Linked DNA regions of Saccharomyces cerevisiae S288C. Changing the gene in region 1 together with any one later gene gives a genetic interaction. Each region holds a gene or a part of one and is shown in the gene's direction. Other genes may lie near its edges. The genes, in order: YLL053C, UBP13, SPO1 and YNR064C.

Region 1 (6,833 bases):
AGATGTCTAGATCTGGGTATGCTAAATTTCATTTGTACTCCTGTGTAAACTATCAATTACTAACTAATTGACATGATGCTGTTTTATCTCGCTCTCTTATGTCCTTTCTTTCCTCCCTTTTTAACATGGAACTTTAAAAGGAATGTGGGGGAAAAAATTCATAAGAAGCCAGGAAAATGTGAAGTTTCTGTGTAGTGTTGCTGTTGCTGATGAATCCCTTACCGCTTTCAATGACTTGAAATTGGGTAAAAAATACAAATTTATTTTATTCGGATTGAACGATGCTAAAACCGAAATCGTTGTCAAGGAAACCTCTACTGACCCATCTTACGATGCCTTCTTAGAGAAATTGCCAGAAAACGACTGTCTTTACGCCATTTACGATTTTGAATACGAAATTAATGGTAATGAAGGTAAGAGATCCAAGATTGTTTTCTTCACTTGGTCTCCAGACACTGCTCCAGTCAGATCTAAGATGGTCTATGCATCCTCCAAGGATGCCTTAAGAAGAGCCTTAAACGGTGTCTCTACCGATGTTCAAGGTACTGATTTTTCCGAAGTTTCTTACGATTCTGTTTTGGAAAGAGTCAGCAGAGGCGCTGGTTCTCATTAAGGTAAATGATTTCACAAATGACAACAATCTTCAAGAAAAATGAAAATGTATATCTATATATAAAATCGTCATATATATACAGAATACATGTATAGAATTATTATAATTATAATTTTCTCTTCGCAACTCTATCTAAAACACAATACTTAGATTTAAGGTCCCGTACACCCCGGCTAGTGGGCATTGTTTTTGCACCCATATTTGTAATTCTAAATTCAGAACGGAAATACTGGCCATGTAGATCAAGAAAAGATACAAGGTCATCGAACCAGGCAGCAATGATTTTTCTATAATCTTCTAAAGTGAAGCATGACGACCATAGCTCGTTGAATATGCATAGAACGCTTCTGTTTTTAACGTGGCTGATATCTTTAACAAAGGCTTTTAATATAAAATTACCACACACTGAAAAAAAAGACCATTTGGAATCCAACGCTGTGCTGGCATGCGCATCCTATATAAATACTCTGAAGTGGTCATTTGATAGCTCCGTCGTACCGGGTTTCTATTCTACCATATGCTCTTATTCACCAGCGTTTGATACTTGGTCACTTTGTATCTTCAATTCGCTTACAGACCAGATTATTCCCATGGACAACACAAGTTTCGAAGAAAGCTTGGGTAACGTACGAAAAACGTGCTCGTTTGTCGATAAAAAGTTTAGCAATATTTCACTGGAGCAATACTACTCATCTTTAAATAATGCTTCTTCTCACGCTTTGGAAGACTATGGTTCTATTGAAAGTTTATCGACATCCATTCGAGTCGATCGTGAGACAAGATCTAGATGGATACGAGCTTTTCATGCGCATGCCTATAATTTAGATATCAGCAGTGTTTATGGTGCATATTTAACTTACTACTTCGTCATAGTGGGTATTATCGCCGTCTTCTTCCATATGAGTCACTATAACGGCCTGAATCGAGCGCTATTTGCAAGCCGGTTCGTCAATTATATTCGGGGCCATTTTGTGTTGCCTACGTTTTTAGTAGATAAGCACGCTAATCACTTCAAGTTTCTAAACGTGGAAGTCTTTACGGGACTGATGCCGAATTCCTTGGAGGCATGGATCATTTTTGGATACACATTGGCGAACATCATATTTTTGTCCATAAGTTACATCATAGACCCATATAACCTCATTTTCAACAGTCACCTGTCGCAGTTTACAAGACTGTTGGCTGATAGATCTGGGATACTGGCGTTTACTCAGTTCCCTCTCATTATCATTTTTACGGCAAGGAATAGTTTTCTCGAATTTTTAACAGGAGTCAAGTTCAATTCCTTTATTAGTTTCCATAAATGGATCGGTAGAATCATGGTCTTAAACGCAACGATACATTCGCTTTCTTATTCATTATTCGCAATTATCAACCATGCCTTCAAAATAAGCAACAAACAGCTCTATTGGAAGTTTGGTATTGCATCCATAACAGTGCTTTGCGTTCTACTAGTTCTATCGCTCGGAATAGTAAGGAAAAGACATTACGAATTTTTCCTGTACACCCACATCATACTAGCCCTTTTGTTCTTTTACTGTTGTTGGCAACACGTCAAAATTTTCAACGGTTGGAAAGAATGGATAGTGGTATCCTTGCTCATTTGGGGGCTGGAAAAGCTTTTCAGAATATGGAACATTTTGCAGTTTAGATTTCCGAAAGCAACACTAATCAATTTGAACACCAGCAACAACCCGCACGATGAAATGTTTAAAGTAATCATACCCAAATATAACCGGAGATGGCATTCGAAACCGGGTCAATATTGTTTCATTTATTTTTTACATCCATTGGTATTTTGGCAATGCCATCCATTTACCATTATCGACGAAGGTGAGAAGTGTGTTTTAGTGATCAAACCTAAAAGTGGTCTCACTAGATTCATTTATAACCATATTTTGCAATCTTTAAATGGTAAATTACAACTCCGAGTGGCCATTGAGGGACCTTATGGGCCCAGTAATCTTCACCTCGATAAATTCGACCATTTGCTGTTACTAAGTGGAGGAACAGGCTTGCCTGGTCCATTAGATCATGCCATTAAGCTGTCACGAAACCCTGATAAACCCAAGAGTATAGATTTGATCATGGCGATCAAAAATCCTTCTTTTCTTAACGGCTATAAATCCGAGATACTAGAGCTAAAAAATAGCCGATCCCACGTCAACGTGCAGGTTTACCTTACACAGAAAACAGCTGTTACAAAGGCAGCAAACGCACGAGACCAATTAATACATTTTGATGATATAATGACCGAACTGACAAGCTTCGCCCACATCGGCAATGCAAGACCTAATTTTAGCAATGTAATTGAAAACGCAATAAAAAGTACGCCGCCTGGAGATTCATTAGCGGTCGTGTGCTGCGGCCCTCCTGTTCTGGTGGACGATGTTAGAAACACCGTTTCTCAAAAACTCCTCGGTTACCCAGAGAGAATTATAGAGTATTTCGAGGAATATCAGTGTTGGTAAATCTTCTCTCCGGCTCCTTCTGATCCTACGCCCACCTATATCTACATATATCTACGGCACTAAAAACTTTTATGTACCGCATAAAAGGTGCTCTTTAGCAACTATTTTTAGTTAATTATTTGCGTTTTAGCTTTCAGGAATTTGCTTGCTAAGACGATGTCTAATAAATCCGGTACTTCTTTACTTGCAATTAATTACTAAGCGGCGCCTGAATTTTTCCGGCTTGATGCCGAGCAAAAATTAACTCTAAATCCCTTTCTGGGAACGAGTCTTTGAAGTTCTACGGTCTTTTGTCTCAGGAAAATATGTCCCGAGAAAGATGGAATAAGTATGGATTTTGTCCTTAACCAGTGGAGGTGGCGCTGCAGTCCTTCTTTTCAGACCCAAGCAAACAGACCAAAGGACATTTTTTTGGAAAATGTTAAGAATCAACCCTCCGAAATCTTTTCACGGCTCAAATTACTGCGGCCTTTTTCTGCTTCTTAAAAATGGGAGCATGATTATTTAATTAGCATTGCATCTGCGTGCACCGTAACTACTACAGTACTTTTACTGCCGCTGAGACGACAGCACGATCTGTTTTAACGTCGTAGGTGTATTTTTTTTTTTCCCGCTAAAAGAGCACCGCCATAATAATGACTTACCTCCTCCAATCCTTCTAGATGTTTTTCTTTAAACTCCTACAGTGAATTAGATTATTGCAAGTGCAAATTAAAAAAAAACCTAAAAAAAAAAAAGAAGGAAATAGTTTTTGTCCATACCGGACTATGGCTTTCATTAACGAATTAGAGCGCCGCTGTTATCCTTTTATTAACTTTTTATCGTGAATCATATCTGCCCCTCTCTCGGTTGATAGTATAAATATGTTGGTTTTAGTAGCTTATTAGTGTGCGCATGTCTTTTTTCTTGTTCCTGGCTATTACAATTCCTGAAAATATTCAAAAGCGACACTAGCCTACCTTAGTTATACTATGTCTAACGAATCTAACGACCTTGAAAAAAACATTTCGCACTTGGACCCGACCGGTGTTGACAATGCTTATATTCCACCTGAACAGCCGGAAACGAAGCATTCGCGTTTTAATATTGACAGAGATACCTTAAGAAACCACTTTATCGCTGCTGTGGGTGAGTTTTGCGGTACCTTCATGTTTTTATGGTGTGCTTACGTCATTTGTAATGTCGCTAACCATGATGTGGCTTTGACAACCGAGCCTGAGGGCTCTCATCCAGGTCAATTGATCATGATTGCCCTTGGTTTCGGTTTCTCTGTGATGTTTTCTATCTGGTGTTTCTGGTGGGGCTTTGAACCCAGCCGTTTCTCTCTCTTTGTGTTTGGCCAGAGCCATCTCACCAGCCAGATGTGTAGTGATGTGGTTTCCTCAGATCATTGCTGGGATGGCTGCTGGTGGTGCCGCTAGTGCTATGACTCCAGGCAAGGTTCTCTTTACTAATGCTTTGGGTTTAGGCTGTTCCAGATCTAGGGGGTTGTTTTTGGAAATGTTTGGTACTGCTGTGTTGTGTTTAACAGTTTTGATGACTGCTGTTGAAAAACGTGAAACTAACTTTATGGCTGCGCTTCCAATTGGTATTTCTTTATTCATGGCTCACATGGCTTTGACCGGTTACACTGGTACCGGTGTCAACCCTGCAAGATCTCTGGGTGCCGCCGTTGCTGCCAGATATTTCCCTCATTACCACTGGATCTACTGGATTAGCCCACTTTTGGGTGCCTTCTTAGCCTGGTCAGTGTGGCAATTATTACAAATCCTTGATTACACTACATACGTTAATGCCGAAAAGGCGGCAGGTCAAAAGAAGGAAGACTGAGAGTAGTCTGCTCAGAATTTTATCTTTTTTGGCATAACGCTCCCATCGTAGTTTAATTTAATTTAATTTAATTTAATATAATAATATCTTATTTTTCATATTTACTGTCCTTTATTTTTTTTTTGTTTTTATCTCTTCTGGTCAGAGTTCTGTTTTTACGTAAGCGGCAGAAGTATGCATTCTTCACATTTTTTCCTCCTAAAGGCAACATTGAGGCCAAACTTTGGAAACAAAGATGATGTGAAGTAATTATTTACCCATCAGAAATCTATGACAAGATAAGTGTACTGCACTGGATATGAGCATTGCATCTCAGAAAAAGGTTAAGCCATCGTTTGTTTGCTTGCGGTGTAAGCAAAGGAAAATCAAATGTGATAAACTTTGGCCTACTTGCTCCAAATGCAAGGCCTCATCCTCGATTTGTAGCTACGAAGTGGAACCAGGACGGATTAACAAATCTCCCACTATCGAAAATGCCCCACATAGAGACATTAGAAACATTACTCCTGCATCGATGTCCGCAAGTGGTTCCTTTACTTCCATACTTAATCCAAGTACTAAAGACTGGGAAATGAAAAATTTTGCCATGAATTTATCGAATGCACACGACAAGCTTGTTGTAATGAATAACACAACCATCGTTGATAGTCCTTTTGCCTTCCATAGCATTCTTCAACATGATTTGTATGCGAAGGCCTTGACCACCTGCATACATGAGAGGATACTGATTGATGTCGAACGCCATCGTGAAAACGTTTCTGCCAACAATAAAAAAAGAGAACTTAACTTAACAATCGGTGATATTGGACCTTTGTTTTTTATTGATAAAGCTGCACTTAAATTTATTGAAAATACCTCAAAAACAAGCAAATTGTATCCTCCAATAGATTTTCTGTATAACACGTATGATTATGAACAAGCGCATCCTGAAGAAAATAATGATAAAATTTCCATAAACATCCTTTTGGAAGAGTTATCCAAATATTTCCTCAATAAGAATGAGGTTGATGGCTTAATCGTGGACTTTTACAAAACAATATATCCGGTCTATCCGTTACTGGAAATATCATTATTCGAAGATAACATAAGGGAGCTGTTGCAATTGAATGAATTTAATGGGTATAACATTGTATTTGCGGGCAAAGACTCTAGAAGAAAACTGGAGACAATAACACTGCTAACTATCATATTGGCTTTTTCTTACAGACGTTTGAGTCTAAGTACTAGTCATTCATTTAAAGAATCTTTTGGTGTAAAATCGAATAATTTAACGCTACTCGCTCATAAACTTCTTGCTCTCATGAACGTTTTTCAATATGTTAATGAACATACACTTTGTTGTCTGCTCTATTTTTTCATATTGCGGTATTTGAATCCAGATCAAGCTGACATGTATCCTACTCACAGTGACATACTAAACCTAAAATTTTTGGAGAATGTAGCAATAAAGCTAGGACTGAATGAAGAACCCTTCCAATACACTCGATACGTCAGCGAATCGGACGATTATCCAAGATTATTCAATTTAAGAAGGAAATTATGGCTTGGCGTGCAATTTTTGAAGTTTGGAATATTGATTCCAGAAGGAGATTCTGACATTCTAAGTTTGGAATATTTAAGATCCTTTATGAAAACTGACGAATCTCTACCAGAACTATTTGAGAGAAATTACGCTTCTACTAATAATCTAGACTTATCGTTGATGGCTACAGCAGAGAATATCTATCATTTACATTTATCTTTACAGGTATTACTGACTTCTTGTTTTCCAATAAATGGCCCTTCCTACTTGAAGGAAGTATTGGATAACATCGACAAGACAAAAGATTTTTTAAATCAGAAATTCCCTCTCATTTTAAGTTCTCTTGGAGAACCAAGGATGAAGAGCTTACATATCAATGTTCCCTCTTCCTTAGCAA
Region 2 (8,249 bases), on another chromosome or scaffold:
CCGCTGCTAAATGACTCAGCATTGCCTAATAATTCAAAAGAATCTTTACCTCCTGCTTTGCAAATGGCTTTTTATAAGAACAACTCTGCAGGTAACACTCCGAACGGCCCCTTCTCTCCAATTCAAAAAACATATTCCCCTCATACTACGTCGACCACCGTTACAACGACAACAAATCAACCACCATTTGCAGCAACAAGCCACGTAGCAACAAATAACAATGCAGATAGGACGAAGACGCCGGTAGTAGCCACCACCACGACTATGCCATTATTGCCTTCGCCGCATGCAAATGTAGATGAGTTTGTACTGGGCGATATTAGTATTTCCATTGAAAAAGCGAATAGATTACACCATATTTTCGTGACTAGGTATCTGCCGTATTTTCCTATTATGTATTCCAATAACGCCACCGAATTATACTCCCAATCTCAGTTGCTTTTCTGGACCGTGATGTTGACGGCATGTCTGTCTGATCCTGAACCGACGATGTATTGCAAGCTAAGCTCTTTGATCAAGCAACTTGCCATAGAGACCTGCTGGATAAGAACACCTAGATCCACACATATTTCGCAAGCTTTGTTAATATTGTGCATTTGGCCTTTGCCTAACCAAAAAGTCCTAGATGATTGTTCTTACCGTTTTGTAGGATTAGCAAAGTCACTGTCTTATCAATTAGGTTTGCACAGAGGTGAATTCATTTCTGAATTCACAAGAACTCAAACATCAATGCCAAATGCAGAAAAGTGGAGAACTAGGACTTGGCTGGGAATATTTTTTGCCGAACTTTGTTGGGCGAGTATCCTTGGTTTGCCACCAACTTCACAGACAGACTATTTATTAGAAAAAGCCTTATCCTGTGGTGACGAAGAATCAGAAGAAGATAACAATGACAGTATTGACAATAACAACAATGATAAAAGGAACAAGAAAGACGAGCCGCACGTTGAAAGTAAATACAAACTACCGGGCAGTTTTAGAAGATTGCTCAGCCTGGCGAATTTCCAAGCAAAATTGTCTCATATCATTGGTTCTTCCACTTCCAGTCCTGATGGTTTATTGGAACCAAAGTATCGTGCTGAGACACTGTCCATCTTGGGAAAAGAGTTAGATTTATTAGCAAAAACTTTAAATTTCCAGAGTGACGATACTGTCAACATTTATTTTCTTTATGTTAAATTAACTGTCTGTTGTTTTGCATTCCTACCCGAAACACCTCCTACCGATCAAATTCCATATGTCACAGAGGCCTATCTAACAGCTACTAAAATTGTCACTCTATTGAATAATCTTTTAGAAACACACCAATTAATTGAACTGCCTATTTATATTAGACAAGCTGCTACATTTTCTGCACTGATTCTCTTTAAATTGCAGTTGACTCCTTTACTTCCTGACAAATATTTTGATTCAGCAAGGCAATCCGTGGTCACTATCCATAGACTTTATAGAAATCAGTTAACTGCGTGGGCCACTAGTGTTGAGAATGATATTTCGAGAACTGCAAGTATGTTAGAAAAACTGAACTTCGTACTGATCATGCATCCAGAAGTTTTTGTGGAAGAAGACGGTATTATTTCTAGGATGAGATCACATTTAACAGGGTCTCTATTCTATGATTTGGTTTGGTGTGTTCACGAGGCGAGAAGAAGGGAAATGGATCCCGAATATAACAAGCAAGCCTTAGAGAAAGCCGCTAAGAAAAGAAAATTTTCCTCAAATGGTATCTACAATGGCACTTCGTCTACGGGTGGCATAACGGACAGAAAACTATATCCATTGCCACTATATAACCATATCTCCAGAGATGACTTTGAAACTGTAACAAAAACAACACCAAGTGGAACCACTGTTACCACTTTAGTTCCTACTAAGAATGCCTTAAAGCAGGCAGAAAAGCTAGCCAAGACAAATAACGGAGATTCTGACGGTTCTATAATGGAGATTAACGGGATACCTCTTTCCATGCTCGGGGAAACAGGCAGCGTAAAATTTCAAAGTTTATTCGCTAATACCTCGAATAGTAACGATTATAATAATAATAGGACGTTATTGGATGCGTCTAATGACATATCAATTCCCTCTAATTCAATTTATCCAGTGGCTTCTGTCCCCGCTTCGAATAACAATCCACAAAGTACTAAGGTAGACTATTATAGTAACGGACCTAGTGTAATTCCTGATCTCTCCATGAAAAGATCAGTAAGCACTCCCGTTAATCATTTTCCTGCGTCCGTTCCAGGGTTAAGGAACCACCCCGTTGGCAACTTATCTAATAATGTTACATTGGGAATAGACCACCCTATTCCAAGGGAGCACAGTAATTTACAAAATGTCACCATGAATTATAATAATCAATTCAGCAACGCCAACGCGATTGGAAGATCACAAAGTAGTATGTCCCATTCACGTACACCGATTGCTTCGAAGTCAAATAATATGACAGATTTGCATTCCGTCGTTTCCGACCCCGGCTCCTCTAAAAGCACGGCATATCCACCTCTGAGCTTGTTTTCCAAAAGTAATGATATCAATAGCAACAAAACGAACCAACGATTTTCTACGGGCACTAACACTGTAACTTCTTCTAACTTCCAAACCATCGATAATGAAAACAACGTGAAGACTCCTGGAAACAAACTAACGGATTTTTTTCAGCAACAAAGTGCAGGCTGGATTGAAGGCAACTCCAGTAATGATGACTTTTTTGGTTGGTTCGATATGAACATGGAACAAGGTTTTTAACGCCTATATTCTTCTAATATTCTAAGAAATATTATTACCCTTGTTTTCTGCTAATTTATTAAAGAAAATTTGCAAAGACGGCTACATAGGACTTCGAGTCCTTTTATTTATACATATTCTTTTTCGGATTATTTCCAATGTAACAATATTCAAGAATGGATCAACTTAAGGATTATTTATCAGTTTGTTATCACGACCTCCCTCCTTTGTAAAATGATGACCACACCAAAGTAGAATATTTATTCACTACCTATTTATTTTATTCTTATTAATATTTTATATATCATGCATTTATCCGTGTGCATTTACCAAAATTCATGAGTAACGATAACGCTTCTTATAGGTATCTATCTATTCCCATTCCGGTAACTTTTTTTTTTTCTCCAACGCTCAGTCCTTGCTTCTTTATCCCTATTCGTTTGGAGACGGTCGTCAATTTTAGCGGAAGGCTGAAAAATACATCGATCCGAAAGTGTTGAACATAGAGATGAGGCAAGATAACTATAAAGATAAAGAACCCAAAGAACGTAATTGAACTATTGTGTGAAAGAAGGTCGACAACAGCAAAGGAATCAATAGAGTTTTTCTTTGGTTTTCAAATTGATTTTTTTTCACCTGTTCATTTTTTTTTTTTCCATTTGGATAATATTATTATTGCCTATACCAGATCTTACCCTTTGACTGTTCAACTCATCAAGCTTTATTTGTTGAAGGGGCCAAATTCGGCTTTAGTAAGGATCCAGTACTTTCATTAACATACTAAACCCACGCAAGAAGGGCGCAATCATGATCAGAAGATGGCTAACTATAAGTAAGTCTGGGAAGAAGAAAAAGGCTGTTAATGATACCATTACAGAAGAAGTAGAAAAGGTTGACTTTAAGCCTGTAAACCACGATATAAATGATGAACTCTGTTATAGCGAATCATCCGATAATCCCTCTAGCTCATTGTTTGTCTCTAATTTGGATACCAAGGAAACTTTTTTGAATGAAGACAATAATTTGCAGATTTCTTCCGGACTAGACTATTCTTCTGAAACGTGCAATCAAGGCAGTAATTACAGCCAGGATGGGATATTTTATATTTCAAACGCAAAGGCTATAAACGCATACGGAGGCATTATCACGCAAGGGCCCGAGGCACCCATATTAGCTATGAAGGTGTCCGACTCAATGCCCTATGGAGACGGCTCCAACAAAGTTTTTGGATACGAAAATTTTGGCAATACATGTTACTGTAACTCAGTTCTTCAATGTCTCTATAATCTGTCCTCATTACGTGAAAATATATTGCAATTTCCAAAAAAATCAAGAGAATCTGATCAACCAAGAAAGAAAGAAATGAGAGGTAAGAAACCAAGAATATTTACCGAAGCAAGTTTTGAGAAAAGCATTGCTGGTACCAATGGACATTTGCCTAACCCTAAACCTCAATCTGTTGATGATGGAAAGCCTACCCCTGTAAATTCTGTAAATTCAAATACAGCTGGGCCTTCAGAGAAGAAGAGTAAATTTTTTAAAAGTTTTAGCGCGAAACATGTACAAGACAATAATAAAAAGGAAGGAAGTCCTGCTATATTAACCACTGGAAAACCCTCTTCTCGTCCTCAAGACGCACCTCCATTGATAGTCGAAACACCTAATGAGCCTGGTGCTCCGAGCAGATTGAGTTTCGAGAACGTCACAGATAGACCTCCGGATGTTCCGCGTAAAATAATTGTTGGCAGAGTTCTCAATTATGAAAATCCTTCAAGAGGTAGCAGTAATAGTAATAACCTGGACTTGAAAGGAGAAAGTAATAGCAGCTTATCCACTCCACTTGATAAAAAAGATACTAGAAGATCTAGTTCCTCTTCTCAAATATCCCCAGAACATAGAAAGAAATCCGCACTTATTCGTGGGCCAGTGCTCAATATTGACCATAGCTTAAACGGCTCAGATAAGGCTACTTTGTATTCCAGTTTGAGAGATATCTTTGAATGCATAACTGAGAATACGTATTTAACTGGTGTTGTATCGCCTAGCTCTTTTGTTGATGTTCTCAAAAGAGAAAATGTATTATTTAATACTACTATGCATCAGGATGCTCACGAATTTTTCAATTTCTTATTAAACGAGTTGAGTGAATATATAGAACGTGAGAATAAAAAAATAGCAGCCAGTGATATCAACAGCGATAGCGAACCGAGTAAGAGTAAAAATTTCATCAGTGACTTGTTTCAAGGCACTTTAACGAATCAAATAAAATGTCTGACGTGCGATAACATTACATCTAGGGATGAGCCATTTTTGGATTTCCCCATAGAAGTTCAGGGAGATGAGGAAACAGATATACAGGAAATTTTGAAAAGTTATCACCAGCGAGAAATGCTAAATGGCTCAAACAAGTTTTATTGTGACGAATGTTGCGGTTTACAGGAGGCAGAGAGATTAGTTGGTTTGAAGCAATTGCCTGATACTTTAACATTACACTTGAAAAGATTCAAGTATTCTGAGAAACAAAACTGTAATATTAAGCTTTTTAATAACATTCACTATCCTCTGACGCTAAATGTTTGCTCTTCAATAAATTCTAAGGTTTGTCAAAAGTATGAATTGGCTGGGATTGTCGTTCATATGGGCGGTGGGCCACAACACGGCCATTATGTTTCCCTATGTAAACATGAAAAGTTTGGCTGGTTGTTATTTGATGACGAAACGGTAGAGGCAGTTAAAGAGGAAACAGTGTTAGAATTCACAGGTGAATCTCCAAATATGGCAACAGCATATGTTTTGTTTTATAAAGCGATGTATTCAAACGCTGTTGAAAAGAATGATCGTGAAAATATGGCAAAAGAACAAGATGATAATATAGACAATCTAATCAAGTACGATGATTGGCTAAGAACTTGCAATAGTGGTCAAAAGAAAAAGGAAGAGCTGCCTATAGCAGACGATTTGGATACTGCTATAGACGACAGCTTTGTTTCTAACACACCCATAAAGTCTTCTAAAAAAAAGTCGAGAATGTTTAGTTTTAGGAAAAGCTGAAAAATATTTGCATATCAAGGAAGGTAAAGGTTCACCGTCTCCTTTAAAACTATTTTTTCTCTGACAGTATTAATTTAATTCTTACATAAATATAATATCTTTAATCTTCTTTTTTTAAACCGGCTCCGGAACCTTTTTCTTAAATTTATAGTTTTGTCTCAGTAAAAGGTTTTCTTTTAAACTAATACAATTATGAAGTATTTAGGCATGCAAGCAATCAGGAATCTAAGAATAAAAAATTGTCCTATACTGGAGCATGGGTGAACAAATATGACACGGATTCACCATTGTGTAGTCTTCTTATAGCTTCAGCGAACGTGGGACTAATATCGATCTGGTCAGCAATAGGTAAATCCAAATCTACCGGAACGGTATTTGTGCAAACAATTCTAGACAATCTACTATTTCTTAGCTTTTCTCTTGCTGAACCGGAGAAAATACCGTGTGTAACAATAGCTATAACTTCTTTGGCACCATGCTCCATCAACGTATCACAAGCTTTTACCAACGTACCACAAGTATCCGCCATATCATCAACTAATAAACATGATTTATTGGTAACATCACCAACAAGCACCATTTTTGAAACCTCGTTAGCTTTTTGCCTCTCTTTGTGAATCAAAGCAAAATTTAAATCTAACTTGTCAGCCAAAGCAGCTACTCTCTTAGCACCACCTGCATCAGGCGACACCAAAATAGCATTGTCGAAATCTGTTTTCGTTCTAATATAATTTAAAACACTTGGTTCTGCATATAGGTTGTCAACCGGGATATGGAAAAACCCTTGAATTTGGGAGGCATGGAGATCCATTGTGATGACATGATCAGCACCAGCAGTTTGCAATAAATTGGCAACCAACTTTGCGGTAATGGGCGCCCGGGATTTATCTTTCTTGTCTTGTCTTGCATATGGAAAATTGGGTATTACAGTAGTGATCTTTCTTGCAGATGCAATTTTGCAAGCATGAATTAAAATTAATAATTCCATCAAGAAATCATTAATTTCTTGTTCACCTATTCCAGTTTGGATAATATACACATCTTCGTCGCGAAGGCTCTCACCTATGGTGACAGAGGTTTCTTTATTAGAATACTGGTACACACCAACTTTGGAAAGTGGAATACCTAACTTTTTCGATATTTGTTCAGCCAAATCAGGATGGGAGTTTCCCGCTAGCAATTTGATACTATTTATAGCCATATCTTCTCGAGACTCTGAATTCATTTTTGCTGGAGAAGCCTTGTGGAGTTGAAGCTGAGAGTCTATGTGCATTATGTAGTCTACCACATGCTCAAGGTCGATGACCATATAGGACCTTGAAATATTTTCGTCAGGATTTTTCAATGACCGAGAAGTAAAAAAAAAGCAGAGAATCGAGCAGCAAGGCTGATTTGCTAACAAATCCAATTGATATCATCGGCACGTGCTTAACTAAGGAGCGAGACTCATCTGCTTCAATTGTTACAATATTTGATTATATATTAAAATAAATGGTTATGTACGTACAGAGAACGCCAGGAGAAGGTGGGAGGGGGAAAATATTAAGCATTAAATTATGAAGTTCATTAAGTTTAAAAATAAAACATATTGTAAATGTAAGTGGGTATCTAGAATTTTTCGACGTTCATGATTAACTTTCCTTGGGCACGTTGAGTGGCCATATAAGAAAATGCTTCTTTATGGTCTTTCCAGTCATAAACTTTGTCGACGACACATTTTACAGTACCGTTCTTCAAAAAGTCGCCACATTGCTCAATCCAATCATTATTGGCGGAAGCCGTCTTTGCATTCGGATCAAAATAGTAATGTGTGTAGTTATATGACCAGATAATAGACCCGAACATTTTTCTTGCATTGGCACTTGGGTTATCCCATGAATCGAAAATGTCTTCTTTATAATTGGCAACGTAATCACCTACAGTGGTTACGTACGCACCACCGCCGTGAATCAATGAACTAGAATGACTCAAAATATCGTAACCACCGACAAAATCGAGTACAACATCGAACTTCCCCTCATTATAGTTAAGTATAGTTTCCTTATCCTCGACCGGATCATACTGAGAAATTTTCTTTTCTTCGAGCATTTTTCTTAGTGGTTTACTAGATTTACCCCTACACGTTAAGTAATCGATGAAAATCATTTCATCAGCCAGATCAGGAAATTTCTCCTGTAAAACTTGGGGCCCATTTGCAGACGTTACAATCACTAGTTTTTTCTGTAACTTGTAATGACGCTTCAATAATTGTATGACAAACATCCCCACTGACGAAGTTCCACCATTAATCAAAACGTTTGAATCTTGCTTCAAATACTTGTTCTTGGATAATTTATTCAGAATATTATAGCCGGTGGCCAGGCAGAATAAGGAGCCTGCAGCTTCTTCGGCGCTAACCGATTCTGGTCTCAAAAGGATTGGGTCCACCTTTGGATCTACTAAGATTGAACTTTGCAAACATCCCACGGCCAAAT
Region 3 (8,163 bases), on another chromosome or scaffold:
TTAAATTTTCAAGGTCGCGGCCCGTGCATTGCGCGGCTGGATGTCTTTTAGGGGAGCGATGCGCTTGCACAAAAGAATAGCCTTGATTTCCGCTATTAATGGGTATATTCTTCTAACAATTTGAGTTTTTTCTCCACTTGTTTCTTTCTTCTTTCTCTTTTCCATTCACATTTTGCTTTACTTTTCTGGATAATATATATGTGCATATATATATATCCATTTAAATATATATATATATATATCTTTTGTCCTCCTCTCCAGTTACTTTTGCGCCAGAAATTCCTTCTTCTTTTCAATCTAATAGAGAAGGGTAGATAGTGTGGTGCAAAAAAAGAGCCTTTTAAACCAAAAATAAATAAAAAAAAGGAATCACAAAATGTCAGATTCACAACAATCAATCACCGTTCTAGAAGAGCTTTTCCGAAAGTTGGAAACTGCTACTTCAGAAACAAGAGAGGGTATTTCTTCGGAGCTTTCCTCATTTTTAAACGGGAACATCATCGAGCATGACGTTCCCGAAGTTTTTTTTGATGAATTTCAAAAAGCTATCCAGAGTAAACAAAAGGCGCTCAACACGCTGGGTGCGGTGGCTTACATAGCAAATGAAACTAATCTATCACCTTCTGTTGAACCGTACATAGTTGCGACGGTCCCTTCTGTATGCAGTAAAGCTGGTAGTAAAGATAATGATGTTCAACTTGCGGCAACAAAGGCCCTCAAAGCCATCGCTAGTGCTGTTAACCCGGTTGCCGTTAAAGCACTCTTACCTCATTTGATTCATTCGCTGGAAACTAGCAACAAGTGGAAAGAGAAGGTTGCTGTTCTCGAAGTAATCTCTGTATTGGTAGATGCCGCTAAAGAACAGATTGCCTTAAGAATGCCGGAACTAATTCCCGTTCTTTCGGAATCCATGTGGGACACTAAGAAAGGAGTTAAGGAGGCGGCAACGACAACCATCACAAAGGCAACTGAAACTGTTGATAATAAGGATATTGAGAGATTTATTCCAAAATTAATCGAATGTATTGCAAATCCAAATGAGGTGCCTGAAACCGTTCATCTCTTGGGTGCAACTACTTTTGTAGCCGAAGTAACTCCAGCGACTTTGTCTATTATGGTTCCTTTATTGAGCAGAGGTTTAGCCGAGAGAGAAACCTCTATAAAACGTAAAGCTGCGGTTATTATCGATAATATGTGTAAATTGGTTGAAGACCCGCAAGTTGTTGCTCCATTCTTAGGTAAACTACTACCAGGGCTAAAGAACAATTTTGCTACTATTGCTGATCCTGAAGCGCGTGAAGTTACATTAAAAGCTTTAAAAACCCTGAGACGTGTGGGTAATGTCGGGGAAGATGATGTGTTACCAGAAATATCGCATGCTGGTGATGTTTCCACAACACTGGGCGTCATCAAGGAATTACTGGAACCTGAAAAAGTGGCCCCAAGGTTCACCATTGTGGTTGAGTACATAGCCGCGATTGCCGCAAATCTAATTGATGAAAGGATCATTGATCAGCAAACGTGGTTTACACATGTTACACCTTATATGACTATATTTTTACATGAGAAAACTGCAAAGGAAATACTAGACGATTTCAGGAAAAGGGCAGTAGATAATATTCCAGTTGGACCGAATTTCCAAGACGAAGAGGATGAGGGTGAAGATTTGTGTAATTGTGAATTTTCCTTGGCATATGGTGCCAAAATATTACTAAACAAGACTCAATTGAGGTTGAAGCGAGGTAGGAGATATGGTCTATGTGGTCCTAATGGTGCCGGAAAATCCACTCTAATGCGATCCATTGCTAATGGCCAAGTTGACGGGTTCCCCACTCAGGATGAATGTCGCACTGTTTATGTGGAACACGATATCGATAATACACATTCGGACATGTCCGTTTTAGATTTTGTATATTCCGGCAATGTAGGAACTAAGGATGTTATTACCTCGAAATTAAAGGAGTTTGGGTTCAGCGATGAAATGATAGAAATGCCAATTGCATCCCTATCTGGAGGTTGGAAAATGAAATTAGCTTTGGCGAGGGCTGTTCTGAAGGACGCTGACATTCTACTATTGGATGAACCAACAAATCATCTAGACACTGTTAATGTGGAGTGGCTGGTAAATTATTTGAATACTTGCGGAATTACATCGGTGATTGTCTCTCATGATTCTGGTTTTCTGGATAAGGTTTGTCAATACATCATACATTATGAGGGTCTTAAATTAAGAAAGTACAAGGGTAATTTATCAGAATTTGTTCAAAAATGTCCTACGGCACAATCATACTATGAATTAGGTGCCTCTGACCTTGAATTTCAATTCCCAACTCCTGGTTATCTAGAAGGTGTCAAAACGAAGCAAAAGGCAATTGTTAAAGTAAGTAATATGACTTTTCAATATCCAGGGACAACTAAACCACAAGTCTCAGATGTTACTTTCCAGTGTTCTCTATCCTCAAGGATTGCAGTTATCGGACCTAATGGGGCTGGTAAGTCCACTTTAATTAATGTTCTTACTGGTGAACTGTTACCAACCAGCGGTGAAGTATATACACACGAGAATTGTCGTATAGCGTATATTAAGCAGCACGCTTTTGCACACATTGAATCGCACTTAGACAAAACTCCATCCGAATACATTCAATGGAGGTTCCAAACTGGTGAGGATAGGGAAACAATGGATAGAGCAAATAGGCAAATAAATGAAAATGACGCAGAGGCCATGAATAAAATATTTAAAATTGAAGGGACCCCAAGAAGGGTTGCAGGAATCCATTCAAGAAGGAAATTTAAAAACACGTATGAGTACGAATGTTCGTTTTTGTTAGGTGAGAACATTGGTATGAAATCTGAAAGATGGGTTCCAATGATGTCTGTCGACAATGCTTGGCTACCAAGGGGCGAATTGATTGAATCCCATTCTAAAATGGTTGCTGAAATTGATATGAAGGAAGCTTTGGCTTCTGGTCAATTCAGGGCTTTAACAAGAAAAGAGATTGAATTACATTGCGCCATGTTGGGGTTGGATTCAGAATTAGTCTCACATTCAAGAATTAGAGGTTTATCGGGTGGGCAAAAGGTTAAATTGGTACTCGCTGCCTGCACGTGGCAAAGACCCCATTTGATTGTTTTAGATGAACCTACGAATTACTTGGACAGAGATTCATTGGGTGCTCTTTCAAAAGCATTAAAAGCTTTTGAAGGTGGTGTCATTATTATTACGCATTCGGCAGAATTTACTAAGAATCTGACTGACGAAGTTTGGGCGGTTAAGGATGGGAAAATGACACCCTCTGGCCATAATTGGGTTGCAGGACAAGGTGCTGGCCCAAGAATTGAGAAAAAAGAAGAAGAGGGTGATAAATTTGATGCTATGGGTAACAAGATTAATAGTGGGAAGAAAAAAAGCAAACTCTCTTCTGCAGAATTGAGAAAGAAAAAGAAGGAGAGAATGAAGAAGAAAAAAGAGATGGGTGATGAATACGTTTCTTCTGATGAAGATTTTTAATTTGAAGTCGAGTACATCTCTTTCAGTGAGTAACTTATATATTTTTGAAGTTAACATCCTTATTCTTTTTTTATATTTTTATTTTTTTTATGTTTATTTTCTATTACTGATTTTCACAAAGAAAGGTAAAAAAAAACATACTTCAGCGGCTATACAACCATATTTAAGTAAATGCACTCAGAGAAAGTATACAAGTAAAAAACCTAAGTAAAGACATAAATATCCCAAAATAATGCAAAAACTCCTCTTTGTCTTTTCTGTGTTATTGACAGTAGTACTAGCAACAGCACCATTTCAGGTACAATGTCCTAGCTCTCCACTTATTAGGGAGGCCAAAGTAAGTTAAACTCTTTGCCACTTTAACAAATATGGGCCAAAACTAACCGAATATACCAAAACTTCGTATTCCTTTGTTTATTAGCATGAACTCTGTCCAGAAGAAACCTTGTATCTGAAGAAAAAAAAAATTAAAACGAAGAATAAACTGATTCAGTTTTTAAAATCCTTGACAGAGGCAAAGTTTAGTTCGAAGTTTTATAAACGCGTGTTGAAAGATCCTCCAAAAATTGGGATTGCTATATCTGGCGGCGGGTACAGATCCATGTTAGTAGGTACCGGATTTATTTCCCAAATGAACGATTATGGCCTTTTTGAATATTCGGATTATATTGCTGGATTATCAGGCGGAAGTTGGATCTTGATGGATTTGGTAGTTCAAAATTTTGAAGTAAAATCCCTGCTACAAGAGTGGGACCTTGAAGAGGATCTTTTATTAGGCATACCGGAATTCGATATTTCCGAAGAAGAAATTGTTACCAATGCAAAAAAGGAGTATAATGATAATGATTTGAAGATGAAGAAGCGTCAGGGGGGTTCTCTGATTACAAGCTCTTCAAATTTTTATGAACAAATAGAGGAGATCATGAATTCCATAGAAGAAATCCCAGAAGACTATATGATAACGAAGAGAAACTTGAATCCATTAGCAAGACTAAAAAAAATATTCTTTCCTAACAACACTTTCACTGGAACTGATGCGAAGATTGAAACCTTTAAAAAAGTGCTAGACTTTTACAAAAGTTTGCATTTGAAAATTAAGCCTAAAAAAATGGAGGGTTTCCAAATATCGTTCACCGATTATTGGGGTAAAGCAATCGTTCAAAGACTAAAAAAAAATTTCGATGACGATCCCAACCATTCCTTTTCGTTTTCGAAGCTTGTAAACTCGTCTAAAAAATTTAAGGAATGCAGTGTGCCGATCCCAATATTCGTTGCAAATTGCAAAAATGGACTTCTTTCAAACGTTATATTTGAATTTACGCCCTTTGAATTTGGATCTTGGGAAAATATCCTCAGACTTTTCGTCAAGTTGCCCTATTTGGGCTCAAAAATTGTTTCTGGAAAGGCCGAGAAGTGTATTAATAACTTTGATGATCTAGGTTTTATTACTGCGACGTCTTCTTCAATATTCAACAATGTGCTCATCTTCATCTGGAATTTGGCTTCTCAGTCCTCCAGAGAAGCAATGAAAGCTTTGAATATGGTTATGGGAATTTTTGGCCTAGGTAAAGAGGAAATATTTAGTATTTCGAAAGACTCCTCGAGATTAGAGACAGACTATGCCGTATATCAACCCAATCCCTTTTATCTTTATCCTGAAAAAGACAATGTCCTAACTAACAAAAATCATTTATACCTTGTAGACGGCGGAGAAGACGGCGAGAATATTCCACTCAGAACATTGGTGATTCCTGAAAGGGAACTAGATGTAATTTTTGTTCTGGATTCTAGTTCGGATATTGACAACTATCCAAACGGCTCCAAGTTAAAAAGGATATTCGAAAAATTAGATGAAGAGAACGTTCATTACCAATTTCCGAACAATGTAAAAACATTCACTCACCCCATTGTTATAGGATGCAATGCTACCAAAAGAACTGGACATGATTCATTTTTGCCAATTATAATTTATCATGCCAATGCGAATCATGGAAACGCATCTAATACGTCGACATTCAAAATAACTTACAATCAGTCTGAAGTTAGCAGTATGTTACCCACTGGAAGGGGAGTGTTTAGCAATGATTATGACCTTTATTATAAAAATTGCTTAGGCTGTATATTAACCAAAAGAACAATGGACAGGCTCCCAAGAAAAAAGAAATTTTCGCCATTTTGCTTACAATGCTTTAAAGACTACTGTTACTCATAAGAGAGTAGACTTTTTCTGTGAAATTTAATGAGTTTTTGTTCACCTTTTTTACTTTTCTTCTATGCCATATGGTTAAATAAAACATGGTTCAAACGCGATTCTTTTTTATTATCTATGTCTTTATTATGTAGTCTTCACTATAATAACCGTTAATGAGCGACATAGTTGCATCAGTTTTTAAGGCCAATTTGATTCAGAACCTTTTCAAGTTCTTCACTTTCCATCTTATCCGAAGACGCGATCTGGTGGCATCTAATACTATGCTTCTCGAATATCGTTTCATCAATTTCAATTTCACCATTTTTTAGGTAAACAATATCAGTAATAAAATCTTGCCATTCAAAGTCATCATTCTCTGAATGGACACCCTTAGATTGCCTATAGCCTGCTATTGCCCTACTCATAGAATCTATGATCATTTGAACGTAGTGTAAACCGTCTAAACCAAAAACCTCTCTATCATATTTATTATTTATGAGCAAAACTTTTTTCGTATTATTAGATTCCAAAATTACTTCAGCAAGATTACCAAGAATAAGGATTGGGAGTAAACTTGTCATTAAAGAACCGATAGAATAAACGACCATGTCAGCTTTTTTCACCTTGGAAATAGCTCTTGGATTTCCCATTGGTTTTATCTCTTCGCCATATGGGTTTATATACAATATCCTATGTACCGGAGCAGGTAGATTCTGTGATTCATCAAGCTTGTCAAAATGCAACTGGGAGTTTTTCAGTTCTGGAAGAATATAGATAGGATTGGCATACTCCTCTTCCGCTTCTTCTTCCTCATCGTCGAGGAGAATTTTCAAATGGTCGTCATAAGAGCCAAGTAAATGAATAAATTTAGCTGAATGTGCTATGCTATTATCTTTAGGAACAGATTTCGAGGGATGCGATATTTGTGATTGGCCAGTTATCATCTCACCATTCGTCAACAAAGCCGAGATATGATGTGTGTGATTGGTATTTATACATGGAATAACATGAACTAGAGGACTGCACCTTCCTATCCTCATCATTAGTTCAATAGATGCGTCTAGAGAACCTAAAAACAATCTAGCACCAGTTAAGAAAAAATTTCCAATGGATGCACTCTCAAACTGAAATGGATTCGAGTGTTTGATTTTTTTCAAGAGTTCTGCTTGCATATGGATAATAAAAGAACGACACATTTCCTTAACTTCTATCGAAATATTTTTCCATATGGGATGCGAACCTTCCACTATTTCATTCCATTCTTTCTTAGCTAATAACTTATCATTAGGTAGCCTATGGCCAAACAACTCGACAAGCTGTTCATCTTGAAGTAGTCTCACTATTCTAGATCTGATATCACCAATTGCTGGGCCACCAACTATTCGTAGAATTTCACTTGTGGACCCGCCATTATCTGATATTGGCAATATATACGTCAGCTCATGTCCTTTTAAGATAGAAATATTAGAAAAGCAAGGAGTCAATGAATTTGTGGCAGTCCCACCGGAGCACACAACGACGTTCATCTAGTAAACTATCTCACCACACTCTGCTATTTTGTCCCCTTATTACCTCGAGGGAACAAAAGATTCCGTTTCCTCTCTTTCATAGTCCGCCTAAATAGCTTAAGAAATAAACCCAAACATCACACATTAGCGTTCTTTAGGAAATACGAAACAGGTTAATACAACAGTAGTAACTTTCCACATAATATCTAAGCATTACACGCTGAAAAAAACTCTTTATTGGATATCAACAACCCAACACATTGTACGACATATTCTTTTATCGTTCTACTATGGTACCCTGTTCAAATCTCTTTTTCTAAAATGAGCGAAATTTTCGAAAATTATCGCATAATTTTTCATCATCTTAAATTAAAAAAATACAGTGTCCTCTATTGTTTATCTCAACAGAACGCACACATTCTTGAAACTTGCTCACATAACATAAGCTGGAGTGACATAGCATTTATATATATACAAGGGAAATGGTCAAAGCTGTTATTTTTACCGATTTCGACGGTACCGTTACTTTGGAAGATTCTAACGATTATCTGACCGATACTTTAGGTTTCGGTAAGGAAAAAAGATTAAAGGTCTTCGAAGGCGTGTTAGATGATACTAAGTCTTTTAGGCAAGGTTTCATGGAAATGCTGGAATCCATCCACACCCCTTTCCCTGAGTGTATCAAGATCTTAGAAAAGAAAATTCGATTGGATCCTGGTTTCAAGGATACATTCGAATGGGCTCAAGAAAATGATGTCCCTGTCATCGTTGTTTCCAGCGGAATGAAACCAATTATCAAGGTTTTATTGACCAGATTAGTTGGACAAGAGTCTATTCACAAAATTGACATTGTTTCCAATGAAGTGGAAATCGATGCACATGATCAATGGAAAATCATCTATAAGGATGAAAGTCCCTTCGGACATGACAAATCCAGAAGTATCGATGCTTAT
Region 4 (7,348 bases), on another chromosome or scaffold:
TATTGATATTGCTTCTCCTCATTTCTTAGAAGGAACAATAATTGGCTCGTTTCATCCTTCCTTTGACTACTCTCATAACAAAGGAAAATATAATAAAAAGATAGCCAGATATGAAACTAAAATATCTGTTGATAACGGCCTCACATGGTCAAATTTGAAAGTGGTTGACGAGGAAAATGCAGATTCATTCCCTTGTGATATCACTAGGCCTGAAAGATGTTCGCTCCAGAACCCTTTTTATAGTATCTAAATCTCAAATCCTACTGCCGGAATTATGTTAATGACAGGTTCCGTTGGCGACGGTAGTGAATTCGATTGGGAAGACCAAAAAACTTTCATCTCTAGAGATGGCGGTTTAACGTGGAGATTTGTTCATAATTCTTCTGGGTTATATGCTACTGGTGACCTGGGAAATATTATTGTGTATATCCCATATGATCCAGAGGAAGATGGCGATTTTCAATCTGAATTTTATTATTCTTTGGACCAAGGTAGAACATGGAATGAATATGAGCTGACCAATGCCATAAGTTCTGTCCATCCCTACAAATTGATAAATCCAACACCAGATGGATCTGGCTCAAAATTTATTTTTAAAGGAACGTTTGCCACTACCGATTCCGAAACCAACAGTATAACTTCTTTAAAAGGTGTCGAGTATATAATTGATTTTTCAGCAGCATTCGACTCTAGAACGTGTGAGGAGGAAGATTTTGAAGATTGGGATTTGGCGGATGGGAAATGTGTTAATGGCGCCAAATACAAGTATAGAAGGAGGAAACAAGACGCCCAGTGTTTGGTAAAAAAAGCATTCAAAGATTTGAGTTTAGATGAAACGCCTTGTAATAGTTGTGGTGAATCCGACTACGAATGTTCGTTTGAATTTGTTAGGGACGCAAACGGCCTGTGTATACCAGATTATAATCTGATTGCCTTTTCCAACATATGTGACAAATCGAAGGATAAATCTGTGTTAGTAGAGCCATTACAATTAATCAAAGGTGATGAATGTAAAACACCCATGAAAATTGAACCCGTTGATATTCCGTGTGACGAAATTCCAGAGGAGGGTTCGAGTGACAGGGAAATAGTGACCACTGAAAACAAATTTGACTTCGAAATTAAATTTTACCAATACTTCGATACAGTTGCCGACGAATCTTTGGTCATGCTGAATTCGATAGGAGACGCCTATATATCCCACGATGGTGGACAAACAATAAAAAGGTTTGACACTAACGGCGAAAAAATTGTTGAAGTTGTGTTTAACCCATATTTCAATTCTTCAGCATATTTGTTTGGCTCTAAAGGTAACATATTCTCAACACACGATAGAGGACACTCTTTTATGATAGCTAAATTACCTGAAGCCAGGCAATTAGGTATGCCACTAGATTTTAGTGCTAAAGCACAGGATACTTTTATTTACTATGGTGGCAAGAATTGTGAATCAATCTTAAGTCCAGAATGTCATGCAGTAGCATACCTCACCAAAGATGGAGGTGAAACTTTTACAGAAATGCTTGATAATGCAATTCATTGTGAGTTTGCAGGCACACTCTTTGAATATCCGTCAAATGAGGAGATGGTTATGTGCCAAGTAAAAAAGAAGTCTTCAGAAACAAGAAGCTTGGTTTCTTCGATAGATTTTTTCCAAGGTGATAATAAAATTATCTTTGAAAACATTATCGGCTACTTGTCCACTGGTGGCTATATTATTGTTGCCGTACCTCATGAAGACAATGAGTTGAGGGCATATGTAACTATTGATGGTACTGAGTTTGCCGAGGCAAAATTCCCGTATGGTCAAGATGTTAGTAAGCAAGAGGCATTCACTATTTTAGGATCTGAGAAAGGATCGATATTTTTACATTTAGCAACAAACTTAGAATCAGGACACGATTTTGGAAACCTTTTGAAATCCAACTCGAATGGTACTTCTTTTGTCACTTTAGAGCATGCCGTTAATAGAAACACATTCGGTTATGTCGACTTTGAAAAAGTTCAAGGTCTTGAAGGTATTATTATTACCAACATCGTTTCGAATAGGGAAAAGGTTGGAGAGAACAAGGAAGACGAACAATTGAAGACGAAAATCACCTTTAATGACGGTTCAGATTGGAACTTTTTGAAGCCTCCAAAGAAGGATTCGGAAGGGAAAAAGTTTCCCTGTGATTCTGTATCATTAGATAAATGTTCTCTACATTTGCATGGTTACACTGAACGTAAGGATATCAGGGATACATATTCCTCCGGTTCCGCGTTAGGAATGATGTTTGGTGTCGGAAATGTTGGCGATAAGCTTCTACCATATGAGGAGTGTTCCACTTTTTTAACCACTGATGGAGGAGAGACGTGGACTGAGGTTAAAAAAGGCCCCCATCAATGGGAGTACGGTGATCATGGTGGAGTCTTGGTTTTGGTCCCCGAAAACGCAGAAACTGATTCTATTTCTTACTCCACCGATTTTGGTAAAACATGGAAAGATTATAAATTCTGTGGCGACAAAGTCCTCGTAAAGGATATAATCACCGTTCCCAGAGATTCTGCTTTGAGGTTTTTGCTATTTGGAGAAGCAAAAAACATGGGTAGTGGTTCATTCAGAACGTATACAATTGATTTTAGAAACATCTTCGAGAGGCAATGTGAGTTTGATATTACGGGTAAAAAAAGGGCAGATTTTAAGTACTCTCCTCTGGGTTCCAGAACTGGTTGTCTATTTGGTCATCAAACCGAGTTTTTACGTAAAACCGATGAAAAATGTTTTATTGGGAATATTCCACTTTCTGAATTTTCGAGGAACGTCAAAAACTGTTCATGTACGAGGCAAGATTTCGAATGTGACTATAATTTTTATAAAGCCAGTGATGGTACTTGTAAATTAGTCAAAGGCTTAAGTTCGGCGAATGGTGCCGATATCTGCAAAAAGGAACCCGACTTAATTGAATACTATGATTCCTCTGGCTATCGAAAAATTCCCTTATCAACCTGTAAAGGTGGGCTGAAATTGGATGCACATTTAGCACCACATCCTTGTCCGGGAAAAGAAAAGGCATTCAGGGAAAAATATTCTATAAACACCGGCGCTTATGCGCTGGTTTTTGTTACAATTCTTCTCGTTATTTTCTTTGCCGCATGGTTTGTATACGATAGAGGTATCAGGAGAAATGGGGGATTTTCAAGATTTGAAGAAATAAGATTAGGAGACGATGGGCTGATAGAAAACAATAGGACCGATAGAGTTGTCAACATCATTGTAAGACTAGGATTATGCATTTCTTTAATTACCAAGTCTGCATTTCAACGCACGAAGGCAGGTGTAGCACGCTTTTCTTCAAAATTAAGGGCAAGGTTTGGCAACAGAAAAGGTCCTACTTACTCTTCGCTGCTTCAGGGTCAGTTTTCAGATGAATCAGATGGCTTGCATGAAGATGCTAACGATTTATCCAGTTTCACAAGTCAAGACAGTAATTTTGAAATTGAACAAGAAGATGCTTACAGACCCGAACAAGAGCACACGTCACAGATAGACCAGCCTGCCACTAGCAATATTCCAGACGCATTGCCAGCACGTAGTGCTATTCACAAGCCTGATTCAACTGCTGTGCGCAACGAGGACGAGTAAATAGATTTTTTTAATAGACTAAATAATCGTATGTTTGCTAACAAAAAGTACGCATATGCATTTTCTCAATATTGTGCATTTTCTAAATCTCCATTCACCTTTGTTATTAACATAGTCATTTAAAGGTATGATAATTCAGTATTCATCTTTTCCACAGACGGCGCTGCATGCCATTCGTCTGTAACTTGCCTAGGGACTGCGCCGCACATAATCGTGACAGAAATTTCAAAAGTGATAGGAGCCAAAAGTGATAGGAGCCAAAAAGAACATATATAAGCACGATCAAATTAACTGAACTTGACCACTTTTCTTTCACTGTCAGAATTGGACGAAGGACAAAAATGTCAAATATCATTGCAAGATTTCACAAGATTCAAGTTCAAGACGGTGTAAAGGTTTGGTACCGTGAGGCCGGTGCAGCAGGTAACCCCACAATTTTATTGCTACATGGGTTCCCTACATCTTCCAACATGTTCAGGAACCTCATTCCCTTACTAGCTGGACAGTTTCACATCATTGCTCCGGATCTTCCTGGGTTCGGATTTACGGAAACGCCAGAAAACTACAAGTTCAGCTTTGATTCCCTTTGTGAAAGTATAGGATATTTGTTAGATACTTTGAGTATTGAAAAATTTGCCATGTATATATTTGATTATGGATCTCCGGTAGGTTTTCGGTTAGCCTTGAAGTTTCCCTCCAGAATTACTGGCATTGTTACTCAAAACGGTAATGCTTACGAAGAGGGTCTCGATGACCGCTTTTGGGGTCCGTTGAAGGAATATTGGAAGTCATATCAAAGTGATCCGGTATTTGTTAAATCCCTTATCCCGTACCTTGAAGATCCAGCTAATGTCATATGCCAGTACCATGATGGAGTACCAGCTATCGAATCTGTTGATCCCGCCGCTTATACGCTTGATATTGCGCTAATTCAGCGTACCGGCCAGACCGATATTCAATTGAGATTATTTTTCGATTATCAGAATAATATAAAGTTGTACCCAGCCTTTCAAAAGTTCTTGAGAGATTCAAAGATTCCTGTGCTAGTTGCATGGGGTGCGAATGATACTATTTTTAGCGTTGCCGGGGCTGAAGCTTATCGGAAAGACGTTGATAATTTAAAGGTTGTTTACTATGATACTGGCCATTTTGCGCTTGAAACTCACGTAGTTGCTATTGCCGAAGAAATCATCAGTATGTTTGCAGAAAATTAAAGATACTAAGTTCTTGTGACAATGTTTTCTGAGAAGAATCTCTCGTATTTTGTTTAATTGCCAAAAACACATATGTTTCGACTCACATAGAGTTGCCTCAGAGCGTTCTTTTGTTACCCATTATTGCTCATAAATAAGTCAAAACAGATGTCTGGTCGCATTATCAAGGGTTTGTACTGGTAGCCCGGTGACAATATATTAATCTAAGCATATAACATTTTTAGTAAGTTCTTCAGCCACCTTTTTTACGATCTATGTTGTTTTGAAGGGTAAACCTACTACCATGTCATATGGATCTTTCCCCTAGTAAACTTGTATCTCAAAAGGTCATTTCTGAATAAAGTGTCAAAAAATCAGCTAGGAAACGGTTTAGTAAAGTATGCGACCCCAAAATTCGACAAAGCTATCACCACTCAGCTGTACTGGACTGATCGGATATTTGATTATATCAATAAGGTTTTGTTCAATAGGAAGTACCTGAACTAAATCTTGCAATATTTCCAATGCTAGAATGTATTCAAATAGTTCAGTACCTTTAAGGAACTGCACCACCTGCTTATACCTTAGGAGTATAATACATGAAATACATAATGTCAGTGACGCTGTTCTTAAAGGATAACAAAAATTCCAATCCAAACGTTCATGCCTTTCCTTTTCGTTATCGGGAAACTGTTTAGTGTATTGACTCCATATTTCGTGAATTATTGATTTTGCCATGGTTACTGCTTGTAAGGATTCTCCAGTGATCAGATACGGACGATATAATAGAAAAGAAGCTTGAGCTCTTAAACATGATAGCTCTAACATTAAGACTCTGCTCCTGTAAAAAAGATGTTCTTCGAATATCGGAAAGCCTTTTAACCTGGTAATCTGGAGTGAAACCTCCTCAAATTCTCTTTCTAAGTTTACGAATGGTACCTCGTTTGCGGTGCTGGAAGTATATAGCCGTTGAAAAATCTTACTTTGTAGAGTGGCTAGCTTGATTCTGATTTGCATGAAATCTATCAAAAGTTTATTAGTTTTATTGCGGGGGGATATTTCACACGGCAGAGGTGTTGTAATTTGTTCCAAAGTGATAAAAGGATTTTTTCCATGAATTGTTGCCAACATGCAAGAAGAACACCAAATGTTCCAAAAAAGCAAGATCACACCAATTCCGTCGCTGTTCGACTCAAGTAATTCCTTGCATTTTGTATTGTTGTTCAAGTTTAAAGCCACAGCAAGTTGTAAAGCATTTATACTCAAATATAATTGGTGCTCTAAGGATATCATCATCGTCATGAAATTTGCCATTAGAACGAGGCCGCAAAATCCATCGATTGTGGGATGAGATAACAAGTCGGGAACAAGCGTTTTCGCAGCATTATAGTACTTAAAAGCATCAGTGGTCAGTTTTGAAATACTATTCTCCGGCAAAAGTGGACGATTGTCTATGTTCGAATGATTCAATAGTTCCCTTTTTCGTATGGTCAACGACCCCAGGCACAATACAGTTGAAAGTAAAAACTTTTCATCACTATTTCCTTCTGTACATTCCAAATTTGGGTATTGGGATTCCAGCTCATATAGATGCCATTTTGATATTCCTGGTACGGAGTGAAGCTTGTTCTCAAACAAGACATCGATTAGCCGAGACCTCGTAGGAGCGTTATCTTCGCTCTCAGTTTCTTTAACCACACCGCTTAAGCCTGTAGCAGTAGGTGAATAGGAAAGACTTTTTTGTTCCTTTGAAGGTGAATTATCGCCTAATAGTTTTAAAAAGTCATCGAAATCTGTTGTCTCAGTGTTAAACTCATCGAAATCAAAATCGATCGGAAGAGAAGTGTCCCACCCGTCATTATTAAAAATCACAGCATCATTTGTGCCAAATCTTGATATATCAATATCTGAATCGAATTTTGGCGCTTCTTTCTCATATATATGAGAAGAAAGGTCTTCATTTAGTCCTTTGTTCTCTAGTATAGAGTTATTCCCGTTATCGATAGTATTATTCTTGAATAAAAAAACCTTCGACCCGTTTTTGATTTTTCTCTTGTCTTTCCTTTTATCAATATTATAAATGCATTCTTTTGGTGTATTTAGCCTTATACATCTTCCACATGGCTTGTTCCCATCGCACTTCAACTTTCGTTTCCTACACACAGTACAGGCCAAACTAATAGATCTCTTTCTAGCGTCCTTAGATCTGTCCATACTGCTTGTTGCGAACGCTTTTGTAGTTTTAGATTAAGCTCTCACAAGGGATATTATTAAGGGAACTTGATGGTCGACTTTAATTGAATCTTAGATGACAGCATCAAAGAGAACAGACACAGTTTTTCAGCGATGCCCGTAAAAACAATAGATTTTTTTTTTAAGTCGAGATGCTTACAAAGTAAAGAGCCTAATAGACCTCTATGTAAAAAGCATCAGATTATTCTTCAAACTCAAGTGACTTGGCAGCTACTGTTTTAACATACGGGCAAACAAACTTTAGGTGGAACGCTGGTTTCTGAGGTTTTCGAATTTG

The links.
Region 2: mutations in YLL053C (region 1) and UBP13 together harm fitness more than expected from each alone (negative genetic interaction), as found in Saccharomyces cerevisiae (one large-scale study listed by BioGRID).
Region 3: mutations in YLL053C (region 1) and SPO1 together harm fitness more than expected from each alone (negative genetic interaction), as found in Saccharomyces cerevisiae (one large-scale study listed by BioGRID).
Region 4: mutations in YLL053C (region 1) and YNR064C together harm fitness more than expected from each alone (negative genetic interaction), as found in Saccharomyces cerevisiae (one large-scale study listed by BioGRID).

What each region holds. Positions count from the first base shown.
Region 1 is NC_001144.5:33,584-40,416, reverse strand, and holds YLL053C (uncharacterized protein), read left to right. Parts: upstream 1-4,455; coding exon 4,456-4,914; downstream 4,915-6,833. Other genes in the region: COF1 (cofilin), read left to right, coding at 3-16, 196-613; FRE6 (putative ferric-chelate reductase), read left to right, coding at 946-3,084; AQY2 (Aqy2p), read left to right, coding at 4,056-4,505; YLL054C (uncharacterized protein), read left to right, coding at 5,213-6,833.
Region 2 is NC_001134.8:91,165-99,413, reverse strand, and holds UBP13 (ubiquitin-specific protease UBP13), read left to right. Parts: upstream 1-3,531; coding exon 3,532-5,775; downstream 5,776-8,249. Other genes in the region: SEF1 (Sef1p), read left to right, coding at 1-2,745; ribose phosphate diphosphokinase subunit PRS4, read right to left, coding at 6,020-7,000; AST1 (Ast1p), read right to left, coding at 7,384-8,249.
Region 3 is NC_001146.8:605,943-614,105, forward strand, and holds SPO1 (putative carboxylic ester hydrolase), read left to right. Parts: upstream 1-3,743; coding exon 3,744-3,848; intron 3,849-3,932; coding exon 3,933-5,723; downstream 5,724-8,163. Other genes in the region: HEF3 (translation elongation factor EF-3), read left to right, coding at 377-3,511; YNL011C (uncharacterized protein), read right to left, coding at 5,894-7,228; PYP1 (putative phosphoric monoester hydrolase), read left to right, coding at 7,693-8,163. UniProt on the Saccharomyces cerevisiae protein: Regulates spindle pole duplication in meiosis I, but not in mitosis. Required for meiosis I, meiosis II chromosome segregation and spore formation. Binds phosphatidylinositol (4)P mono- and polyphosphates.
Region 4 is NC_001146.8:746,627-753,974, reverse strand, and holds YNR064C (epoxide hydrolase), read left to right. Parts: upstream 1-3,966; coding exon 3,967-4,839; downstream 4,840-7,348. Other genes in the region: YNR066C (uncharacterized protein), read left to right, coding at 1-250; YNR065C (uncharacterized protein), read left to right, coding at 275-3,625; PUL4 (Pul4p), read right to left, coding at 5,209-7,032.